Nothobranchius furzeri: one gene and its partners. The protein of the gene in region 1 purifies or fractionates together with the protein of each later gene. This does not show direct contact. Links are inferred from orthologs where the notes say so. Each region holds a gene or a part of one and is shown in the gene's direction. Other genes may lie near its edges. The genes, in order: ybx1, larp1 and nuclear cap-binding protein subunit 1.

The links.
Region 2: the proteins of ybx1 (region 1) and larp1 purify together in Homo sapiens (co-immunoprecipitation; 3 studies listed by BioGRID and IntAct, with this or other methods). This does not show direct contact. The link is inferred for Nothobranchius furzeri from reciprocal best matches to the Homo sapiens genes YBX1 and LARP1.
Region 3: the proteins of ybx1 (region 1) and nuclear cap-binding protein subunit 1 purify together in Homo sapiens (co-immunoprecipitation; 3 studies listed by BioGRID and IntAct, with this or other methods). This does not show direct contact. The link is inferred for Nothobranchius furzeri from reciprocal best matches to the Homo sapiens genes YBX1 and NCBP1.

What each region holds. Positions count from the first base shown.
Region 1 is NC_091755.1:32,516,081-32,519,832, reverse strand, and holds the start of ybx1 (Y-box-binding protein 1), read left to right. Parts: upstream 1-1,415; 5' UTR 1,416-1,592; coding exon 1,593-1,698; intron 1,699-3,214; coding exon 3,215-3,278; intron 3,279-3,512; coding exon 3,513-3,546; intron 3,547-3,628; coding exon 3,629-3,718; intron 3,719-3,752. UniProt on the Homo sapiens protein: DNA- and RNA-binding protein involved in various processes, such as translational repression, RNA stabilization, mRNA splicing, DNA repair and transcription regulation.
Region 2 is NC_091750.1:54,227,305-54,230,956, forward strand, and holds part of larp1 (la-related protein 1), read left to right. Parts: intron 1-1,366; coding exon 1,367-1,431; intron 1,432-3,456; coding exon 3,457-3,522; intron 3,523-3,652. UniProt on the Homo sapiens protein: RNA-binding protein that regulates the translation of specific target mRNA species downstream of the mTORC1 complex, in function of growth signals and nutrient availability.
Region 3 is NC_091741.1:71,548,200-71,551,951, reverse strand, and holds the start of nuclear cap-binding protein subunit 1, read left to right. Parts: upstream 1-1,462; 5' UTR 1,463-1,600; coding exon 1,601-1,634; intron 1,635-3,258; coding exon 3,259-3,347; intron 3,348-3,419; coding exon 3,420-3,520; intron 3,521-3,603; coding exon 3,604-3,752. Other genes in the region: thiosulfate sulfurtransferase/rhodanese-like domain-containing protein 2, read right to left, coding at 13-132, 233-341, 441-727, 1,092-1,217. UniProt on the Homo sapiens protein: Component of the cap-binding complex (CBC), which binds cotranscriptionally to the 5'-cap of pre-mRNAs and is involved in various processes such as pre-mRNA splicing, translation regulation, nonsense-mediated mRNA decay, RNA-mediated gene silencing (RNAi) by microRNAs (miRNAs) and mRNA export.

The sequences.
Region 1 (3,752 bases):
AAGGCCCGTAGCCTCTCATTAAAAATAAATTGTCCATTAATTACTTTCCTGGTATTCAAAAGGACTGATCGTCTGGGATTAGACCTCCGATGAATCCCCAAAGTCTGTTTGATAAGAATTTAGAAAAAATCTTATTGTCTGAACATAACAAGGAAACTGGTCTCCAGTATTTTAGTTGGGTTAAGTCCCCTTTTTCGGCAGCAGGGACAGAACGCCCCACCTACACGATGCAGGAAGTGCTCCTGTCTGAAGTGAGTCTTTAAAAACATCCATCAGGTCCTGTCCCATACTGCTCCAGTAGAATTTGTAGAAGTCAGCAGGTAAGCCATCTATCCCCAGAGATTTTCCTGCAGCCATCTGGGAGACTGCCGTTGTAAGCTCCTCCATGGTTATGTCTGCATTTAAGATGTCTTGGTCTGCTGTGGTCAAGGAAGGGAGCCCCTGCAACAGCTCTCTGGCACAGTTCACATCACATGGCCTTAAATAGGCTGGTATAGAATTCTCCTGCATACTTCCTCATCTCCACTGGGTCTGTGGATAACTGTCCATCTGACAGACGAAGAGCAACCATTTGTTTTTTTCTGGTTTGAAAGTCTTTTCCAGGTTAAAAAAGAAGGATGTTGGAGCATCCATGTCCTGTAATGTGGTGAAACGAGCCCGGATCAAGGCCCCTTTGGCCCTCTCTTGCACGAAATGCCCAAGCTGTTTTTTTTTTTTACCAGAGACATAAAATCTGTCTAATCTAGCAGCACTAACTCCGAGAGAGAGAGAGAGAGAGAGAGAGAGAGAGAGAGAGAGAGAGAGAGAGAGAGAGAGAGAGAGAGAGAGAGAGAGAGAGAGAGAGAGAGAGAGAGAGAGAGAGAGAGAGAGAGAGAGAGAGAGAGAGAGAGAGAGAGAGAGAGAGAGAGAGAGAGAGAGAGAGATTAACCGCATGCGCTTCACACATTGGCCTGTGCTTGTAAAGGGTGCCAGTGGTGCATGAACATAATATGAGTGGATTCTGCAGTTACCTTTGTCTTTACCTGCTAATATTTATGGGGTGTTTATTTGTCTTTTCTTAGAATGTTCCCACGGTAAACATCACAATAGTAGTAATTATTTCAACTATCTAGAAACGACAAAATAAATTAAACATAAAGTTGTCACATTTGCAACATACCACATGTATGGTTCACAGTTTTGTATGACATAATTCAAAATGCATAATACTATCGGAAGTGTCACAAGCAGAATTCTCTCGCTTTTACGTCACTGGGGGCGTTGAGACTTCTGTACGTCTTTTTGACCAATAATTTCATCAAAGGCTTTGCTCAAAAAAGATTGACAGTCTCAATAGCCAATTGGAAGGAGATTTGTTCAATTCTACATATTTTAGCTAATCAGGAGACGAGATGGGCGGGTCTTCGCCTGGGAACATTCCCCTGCACTGTCTCTTGTTCTGCCCAGTTCGATCGGCAACGGGAGCGGAAAGAAGAAAGCTGAGAGCCCGAAGGCAGTAGCCCCCACCACCGCCGGCCCAGGTTACCATCTAGCACCGGGAAAAATATCAGAGAGCCGCCGCCGGCTGAAGCCATTACCAACGAGTAGTAACCATGAGCAGCGAGGCCGAGACGCAACAACCTCCACAGCCTGCTGCGGATGCGGAGAGCCCATCCAGCCCGGCACCCGCAGCTTCCGCGGGGGATAAGAAGGTCATCGGTAAGAATTCTTAGGCTAGCCGAGCCGGAGTTATCATTTATAATTTATACGCTCTTGGGTGTGGATGTAGCATTTGAATAAAAGCTGCCGTTCTTGCGTGAGAATTTCAGCCACGTCAAATTAATTTGCTCCAGTTGGTAAACGTTAGTGCCAGTTGACGGATAAATTCTTCACTCCTTTGGGCATTCTTATTATAATGGTCCAAAAAATTCAATCTAACGGTTTTTATTAGTCTAGTTTCTAAAAATTGAGTGGTTTATTCACAGATTAAATCGTGAATTCCATTCTGATTATCTCCATTGCTCATCGGCCTCCTCACGTCAAATATCCGTTTGAGAGTCGCGTGTATCCGGCCGGTCATCACATGGATGCTCGCTGTCACTTCCAACCGTTGCCAGAACCACGATGTTTTGACTAGGGTTTAATAACTGCATAACTGCATCTGGACCGCCAATAATTGCAGAACAATCCTACCAAATGCTCTATAACACCGGTTCATGTGAAATAACTACAGTGGCTACGAACGTTAGCTGCTTAACCATCTCTTTGTTCGCACGAAAGAGTCTTGATTCCATGTCAAGGCATTTTATCTAAAATATTCTCCTTTTCCAAAGCGTTCAGTCCCGATTTTTTTGGCCAAATTGTCAGAAGAAACGTTGTTGGCTAGCGACTCCAGCTACATCCGTCAATGGCGGTCTTATTTTGGTTGAATTTGCGTGCTGTCGGTGTGGCCTAAATACTTTACTATAGATCATCGGTTGCTAACCTAGCTACATTAGCCTAGCCAGCTAAGTGGCTATTTACATGGCTTTAGGGGAGGCCGTCCAAAATGTCCGCCGTGTGTTTTCCCGTTTTTTCCCGCTGCTTTGTAATTTGTTCGCTAAAAACTAATTCAAAACCGAAATCTTTATCATATATACCAATAAATACGGATTAATGTAGTTTAGTAATGCGCGTTTGTTTGTTTCTCTTTGCTGGCTCTACTCCAACCACATGGTACTAACCTTAGCCACACAGCCATGCTAATAGCCAGCAGAGCACAGCTCACAGCTCGTTAACGTATCCGGGTGCGACCCAACCACGTGTGAACCTTCAGGTTCTGCGTCCTAAAATGGAGCAGCAGGTCTGCAGTAACTAAACATGCGAGTGCAGAGACTGGTCGCTGTTTGCATCCTCATCTTTGTCATGCATTATGGGACATTTTGGATGCGTCATTTGGGACAGTTGTTGTATCGTTACTGGGATATTTTCTTACTGGTGGCTCATGTTAGGAGCAGCTGGCCCTGGGGTCTCCTAAGCATCAGTGTCTATAATAGGAGTGACAGTTGCGGGTTAAATATAACCTCTACGTTATGTGTGGCCATAGTTTTTAATGTTTTTATAGTTCTGATGTAGTTCGTTAAGTGTCCCATCATGATGGAAGCGTTTCAGTTTCACTTAAGCTATATGGATTTGTTCTAAATGCATGTCAGGCAGACGATGGTATTTAATAATCTTGTTCTGACTGTGATTGCAGCAACAAAAGTCTTGGGTACAGTCAAATGGTTCAACGTCAGGAATGGATATGGTTTCATCAATAGGTGAGTCACCTGTTGGTCCCTGTGTCAAAGTACATTTCTGGGTGTGGGTGAGAGTGAAGCATGCTAATCCTATTAAGTTATGCTTTGCGTACTTGGCTGACCATATTATTTTTCTGCTCATCTCCATCCTGTTGCAACCCACAGAACTTAATTAATCCCCACTGGCTTAGTTTTAAGTCTGTTTGCAGAGGCTCAGCAGAATGCAGCTAACTAAGATTCTGTTCTTTTGTCTAGGAACGATACAAAGGAAGATGTTTTTGTACACCAGGTCAGTTGTTGCTTTAGTTTTTATTCATTTATTGAAATTTGTGGTTAAGCAGACTTGACATTCAAACTATTTGTAATTTCAGACGGCCATAAAAAAGAACAACCCAAGGAAATATCTTCGCAGTGTTGGGGACGGAGAAACTGTGGAGTTTGATGTAGTTGAGGGAGAAAAAGTAAGTTTCTTTGATTTGTTTGTTTAAAGGACAT
Region 2 (3,652 bases), on another chromosome or scaffold:
CACCACGCTAACAAAGCAAGAAAATAAGCAGATGTCTAATGTTGAAATCACAAAAATGGTACAAAATATTTAAATTGTACTCATTTAAACCCTAAAATATTAAAGTATGAACATTAAGAAACTTGTTCTTGGAGAAAGACTAAGGGAATTCCAGGGGAACAATCATGTCTGCAGCGAGGCCTGAGGCCGTCTGCGGCCCTGGGGGGGATTTTGTGCGTCCCCGCTTTCATTCTTAGAACGTCTAGTTTTCTAGCTTCAGCTTTTCACTAATATGTCTAATTTAGGCCTTTTGTCAGTACAAATAAAAAAAATCATAACATTATTTTAACATGAAAACATGAATCTCATTTTGTGGCTCATGAGGATTTTTAATTTGATTTTAAATCTCATCATGAAAGATCTCTCCAAATGTCTTAAAAGTTTATTTTCAACTATGTGATAAATACATTTATTTTAAGGAAAAGTATCTGTACTAAGCAAATGTCTCCAGTTTGACTCTTTGACTTTATTATAATAAAAAATGTCTATACCGTTTTATTAATTCTCTGAAAGTTCAATAAACTTTTCGTATTCTGTTGTCAGCCAGCTTCTAATGTCAAGCTTAGTGTTATTGTTGGAGCTGGGCTGATTTTAATGATGCTTTGGCATGCTAACGTAAAATGTTCGGTGTGATGCGTGTGAAAAAAGGCAGATTTAGAGAGTTTTTGTTGCGTCTAGAACCAAACTAAAGCCTTGTTAGATGTTATTTTTGCTGCCCGTCTCTAGTCCCTACTAATGAAGCGCCCTGAGGGACACCGTCAGTTCTGCTAAAAGATTTTCATGTTATCTTGGTGCAGCGCTCAGGGACACCACACCTAAACCTGCTCGGGGCTTACATTCATCCTGGGAGGTGATGCTCTCCATCATTAAAGCAAGAAGCTTCTGAGAATTTAGCACCAGAGAAACTGCTGGAGGACAGGCGGCAGTCCAGCAAACAACGTGAAGCAACTCTGTTACATCAGGAGTCAGTTAATTCCTATTAAACTGTTTCTCAACTCCATGCCTCAAATTAAACAGTCCAAAGTTCAGACGTCGGGTAAACCACACAGCTTTTTGAACTTCTCTGTGACCACCTGCTGAATTGGTTTCTAATGACACTCCAATTTCTGGAGTTTTTTAATTTCCTTTAAACTTGACACATCAGTTTTCCAAACTCTTAGAGTTGAATTAATCCTTCTTGGCAAATGTGTCCCTGTTATGAACGGGCCAATAAGGCAGTAATGTGAGTTTACACCTCAAAAGACCCAGCGCAGCGTTCAGTTAAAGCACATTATTTATTATTATTAGCAGTTTGGTAATGTCTGTGTTTTTGTTTTGTTCCTACCAGAACTGACTGGTCCAGCCAAGGTGGTGAAAGCAGGGAATCCTCCCAAAGGCAGGCGTGGAGGAAAGGTAAGCCTTTCAGTTAGAAAGTCTTAGAATAAGATGATTTTAATGATGATGTGTAATTTTATTTTATGCTGAAATATTAAAAACGGTAAGAAAAGTTGTAGCTGGATATTTATCTAACCAATAAAACCAGTTGTCATCAACCATTGCACTCAAAAAATTTCTAAAATGTTCAAACCTCCCATTACTGTCATGACCCCGGCTTTCCACCAAATGCGTAATCGTTGTGTAATGTCTGCACAGCTCAATACGCAGCTAGTAGCCGTCATTATTGTCTGTGGGTGTGTTTCGCCTGGGCAAGCAGCGGTGCGCAATAATTAAGTTTTTATCTAGAGGTGGCTCATATCCTATCATCCACAATATTACCAGTAAATATTTTTTGTTCAGAGAAAAAAAATCTCTTGTTAAGCTAAATTCATGATGCATTATCATCTCATGCATTCTTTAGTCAGGATTACACTCACTGTTGTCTTCTATGTGTCCCTCACTGCTCTCCGTAGCTGTTTCCTGATTATGCGGGGGAGAGGGTTTGCACAATGTTCCGGTTGGCATCCGCTGTGAAAAGGCTCGTTAAAACACACACAAACGACTCAGAATAATAAAAGTCAGAAAGCTAAATGCAGCATTTAGAGCAGAACATTGGCCCAGAGGTTCCCTGATCGAGCAGACTTTTGAGCTAGTGGCTAATGCTAGCAGATAGCCGCTATTATATAGTATGGTGTGCTTCTTCAAAGATTCATAATCGTTAATGTTCGCATCTTAATGCATCCATTCCATTGTTAGATTATTTTCCTCAGCTCTACCGAGCACCCCAGCTAAACATAACAACACACTGCCTTAAACTTGCGCTGGTGTGCCTGTCGTGTTGACAGAAGCACACTAGCAAATAGCACGACTCGGCTGAGAAAAAATGTGTTGGTAGATGAATCCACAAATAATGACACACAATTTCCCAGCTTTGGTGGATCGTCATCACTATATAATCCTTAATGGTCTTATATCGTCAGATTGCACGGCCCTATCTGTCGCTAGATATCTTTAGCTCTCTTTATGCTTTTGAGGGCACATTGGCGGTGCTGTTGGCGAAAGTGGCGTCCTGACCAATCACAAGCTTGCGTTTTCTGTCTCGTTGGACAGATGATTAGAAAAATGGGCACGACTCCCTCCGTCCTTGCGAGCCTGCTGGAGAACCCGTGCAAGGACACATATTGGCGTTGCGTGTCTCCGCACCGACGCAGAAGCATAAACTAGGCTTTACACACCAGGTTTATGCTTCCAGAACACGTCAAACTCAGCGGTTCAGATCGGGCCAGACAGGAAGTCAAACATGGGAGCGGTGTAAAACATTTGGCTACACACACATCTACACACCTTTTGGATTCATGCAGCTGTCTTCACTGCTCATTATTGCGAGAACTGACAAAATCACGCGTGGTCTTGAATTTATTGGGCAATTTCGTGACCTCGCTGGACCAGCTGTGTGAAACACATTTGACTCTCGAACACTCCACAGAGGTTGTGGCACATTTTTCATCCGGTGGAAAGCCCGGGTTAGTGTTTGTTTCTTTAATCCAGAGTCATAGTGAAGTAATTAGGGAGTGTTTGGTACATCTGTGGTACTTTTGCTGAGGGGCAGATTTGGATTGATAATTGTTTTCAACCAACAACCGTTAGACCAACAGTTTTCCTTAACAGAACTCAACCCATGACTCCAGCTTCCAAATCCCAAAAGCATCTTTCTGATTTAGTAAATTTATGACTAAATGTCACGATCAGGATCAACGTCTTCAAATTTCAGGAAGTGACTCTTCCAATTTATTACAAATTAGTGAATAATTTTTATTTTAAAATTTTTTAATGGAAATGACCCAGTCAGTACTCAAACAGCCTCAAATGTTTTTTTTCTTCCCCATTAGAAAGAGAAAGTAATTGTTCAAAAGAGTTAAGTTTCCTTTTAACACATTAGAATAAATCCTTCACCTCTTTTATTTTCTTTACGTATGTTTTTTTAATCCCATTTCTGTTCAGGTGGGAGATTTTGGTGACACCAACAGTTGGCCGACCCCAGGAGAGATAGCGACTAAAGACATGCAGGTAGGCGTCATGGTTGGCGTGGAGGCGTGGGCTAAAGCTGAAGCAGCGTGACCTCTATACACATCGCTGTGTATTTAACAAGCATCTGGTTGCATTCTACAACAGATTTGGTCATATTGACACAAAACAC
Region 3 (3,752 bases), on another chromosome or scaffold:
TCTAATTCTGACCTTAAAATCCTCTTTCTCCATCTTGAAGAAAGGATGTGAAAGCATTGCATTGATGTAAAGATCAGTGGCCACGTTGGTACCACCAACTGTCCCGTTGATGCCTTCTGCTGCTACCCTTACCTACAGAAGATGATTGACATTTTAACTACTTAAATGTTTCTTTAAAATCCTCTATTTTCTGATATGATGTGCTAGAGTCTAGCTGAAAGGGTTTTCTTACCTTGCCGGTTAGGTGAAGTGACTCACACAGAGCTTCCTGCCATGCACAGACAGCATGTGGATCGTCCACTTCACAGTAACAATAATAGAGCAGAACCTTCCCAGGACCACTTCATAAAAACAAGAAATAAACAATCTGCATATGTTGAAATCTGATCAAATCTATAAAGGGGATGGATATAGATATGTATATACTCCATTCTGTTTACTTTTTTAGTTCACCCTCAGGGATGTGGCTGATATCTGGTATCCACATTGAAATGTCCACTGCCTCCGTCTTTTTCCCTTTCAGCTGCTGTGTTTCTGTGTCTTTTTCCAGCTGGCTTAGCAAATGTTCATATGTGGCCTGCGTGAGCTGCTGTATACTAGAATTGTGAGTTTTGGCCACATGTTGGTGAATCTCAGCATGTTCGACGAAGGTCAGGCTACAGCAGCACCAAGATGTGCTTCCTTTTCCTGCACACTCCTTCTTCGATGCTACGAAGGCAGCAAATGACTGTGAAAAGGAAGAAGCACGAATGGCATTTAGTTTAAGTAAATGTGTGCAAAATTCTAAGTTTAATGTGGGATGAAGTTTGTCGCTGCAGGTTATTTTGTTTTTATTTTGATACCTAACATTTGTCAGACATGTAAACAGATAAAATAAATGCTGCATTTACAACTATTTAAATAAACCAGTATTTACATAATATAAGTTCAACTTTATTTATTGAGCGCTTTCACATGCCCAGGAGGACAAACAAAGCGCTGTACACCAATACAAAAACAGCATTCAAATCAGAAATACACAAAAAAGTATACATTATTATTATAACTTAGCTCATCATAAAGCCAACAAACGGTCATTGTTTTTTCCCCACCTTTCTTCTGCAGAAACTGTAGTATCTTCTTTGTGAGGCAGAAAGTTGTCTCTCCTGTTTTAATCCATTACTTGTCGAAAAATCAACATCCAAATTCATGAAGCAGCCGGTTTCAATCGCTTCCATCCTAACGAAGCTGTTAAACACTGCCAGTTAGTCGATTTTTTGTCTAAATTAAATACATTTTAAGACAGTGATCGTGCCTTGCTGTCCTAACATTTATTTGCTGCCATCTTACCAAACATAAACTCTCAAACACGGTGAGGAAAAAAAGGTCACAAACGTGTTTCCGACAATGTCGGACGAAATAGGAGGACGGACTTTTCATTTGACCTCGTGCTGCCCCGGAAGTTCTCCACTTGAATCATACCGCTGTTATTTTTCTGCGGTGGTTTCTGCGTTGCACAGGCTAAATTAACTAAGTATCAGCTAGTTCGTCCGACTTGCTGCTTCGTTTCATATCGGTTTTTTCTTTTGGTTGTCTTGTGTGGATTTTAAAGTGGCCTAATATGTCCCGGAGACGACACAGCGACGAGAATGACGGTAAATCGGCGGAGATTCAGTCACACTTTAGGCTAATAGGCTAACATTAGCGTGTTTTCCTTTCCTTCACCCATGTTGGTTATTTGTTTTGCTAATACACGTGGAGTTTTTGGATAGCTTCCATCAAAATTAAAAAGAGCAAACTCGTTATCAGCTGACATTTGTGCAAAACTAAACAGCGAAGCTGAATGAACAGCGTAAGACAACCGCCAATAACCTATGCTGTTACTGTTAGCTGATTGATGGCTAACTAAACTGATATGGAGGCGGTACCAATGAGTAAAAGATACACAACCTGATAATTGGATCATTTCTGGTAAGTTGTTAAAAGTGTAAAACTGAGTCGGAAATTAATCCTGACACGTCATGTGGTGAGCTAAACTGCTAACAAGCATCATTCTAGAGAAAATATTTGATTTCCAGTGTCTGTCCTATTGATTTTGTTAAAGCAGTGCGTATTCCATTTTTAAACGTTTCTCCCTTTTGCTTGTACAGAAATGTGTTCACAGTTGAACCCATGTATAATATGCAGATGCTGGTAATGGAAAACAAAACATGGAATGAGAAAAATCTTAAATAGTCATGTAACTGCCTAAAAGTATGTGTGAGCTTCAAGTGAATGTTTCAGAAACCTTCCATTGTTGTCAGTTTTATTTAAAGTCCCATTAGTCATCATCGCACACTGGTGAAATTACATCTCTGCATTTGACACATCCTTGTGGGCAGCAGCGAACTGCAGCGATGGCTGCACTTGGGAACTATTTGGTGGTTTAGTCCCCCAATGCAGTCCCTTAAAGCTGAGTGCAGGGAGATATTGGGTCCCATTTTTAAAGTCTTTGGTATGACCCAACCAGATTTGAACCCTGATTTCCTAGTCGCAGGGTGGAGACCCATACCACTAGGCCACTGAGAAGGTTTGTCAAGCAGATAATGTCTCATTGTCAGTATGTCCTCAACAGGTCAAAATAGCAAGGATTAAAAGCCTTGAACTTCACTCTGGAACAGAATAATTGCTAAAGTATTGACATTCTCCTTTTATAATGCTGCTAACAGATTAATTATCTAAAAAGGGGCTCATGTGTTGATGTGAGTTAGGAGAAGAAACTTTCTCATACTCCGTAAACTGTGTTAAAGGAATCAACTTTGATGTGTTGCTCATTCTTTTGCGCAAGTCTTTACGCCTTATCAAGACACTCACACACACACACTTGGCCTGTCATCTTCAATAGATAATACTGTTTTGAACATTAGGATTAGATGTTCTTGTCTACTGAACTAGAGTGAGTCTGAACTCGGACACTTGTCTGCCCCCTGATGCCATGCAAGGACACTGGGTTATGGTGTGGCGATGTCTGTGTCTGGTGACCTTAACAGAGGAATACCTTTATTGGGTTACAATGATGAAGTTGCTAAAAGGCACTGCTTCGATTAAAAAGTGTAAGCTTTTAAACATCAGCTTAATTTCTGTTAATCTAGGTGTTTCTTAGCACAACACAACCTTTATCAAATAAATATGCAAGTGTTTACATGTATTACTCATTTACGCAGATTCTGTTGGTGTTTTCTGTGGTGTCGGTCAGAGTTTATGAACATGTGTTGATTGTGTGACTCTTTTACCCACCAGGAGGTCAAGCTCACAAGAGGAGGAGAACTTCTGAACCTATTGAGATTGAAGATCGTCTGGAATCCCTGATATGTCGTGTTGGGGAGAAAGTAAGAGCAGACAGACAGAGAGATGCTCTGAAATCTCCATCACTTGACTCTGTTGTATTTTGTTATTAACAGAGTACATCATCCCTCGAGAGCAACTTGGAGGGCCTTGCGGGCGTCTTAGAGGCAGATCTTCCAAACTACAAAAACAAAATTCTGCGTATTTTATGTTCTGTGTATGTTTGTATAGGTTATTGCTTTCTGATTAATAAAGAGGCATTCAGAAGGCAGACTTTACTAAAGCACTGTGTGTCAACAGCGCCCGCCTGCTACCTGAGAAGCTTACCGTCTACACAACCTTGGTCGGCCTTCTCAACGCCAGGAACTACAACTTTGGAGGCGAGTTTGTGGAGGCCATGATCAGACAGCTGAAGGAGACCCTGAAAAACAACTTGTACAATGAAGCTG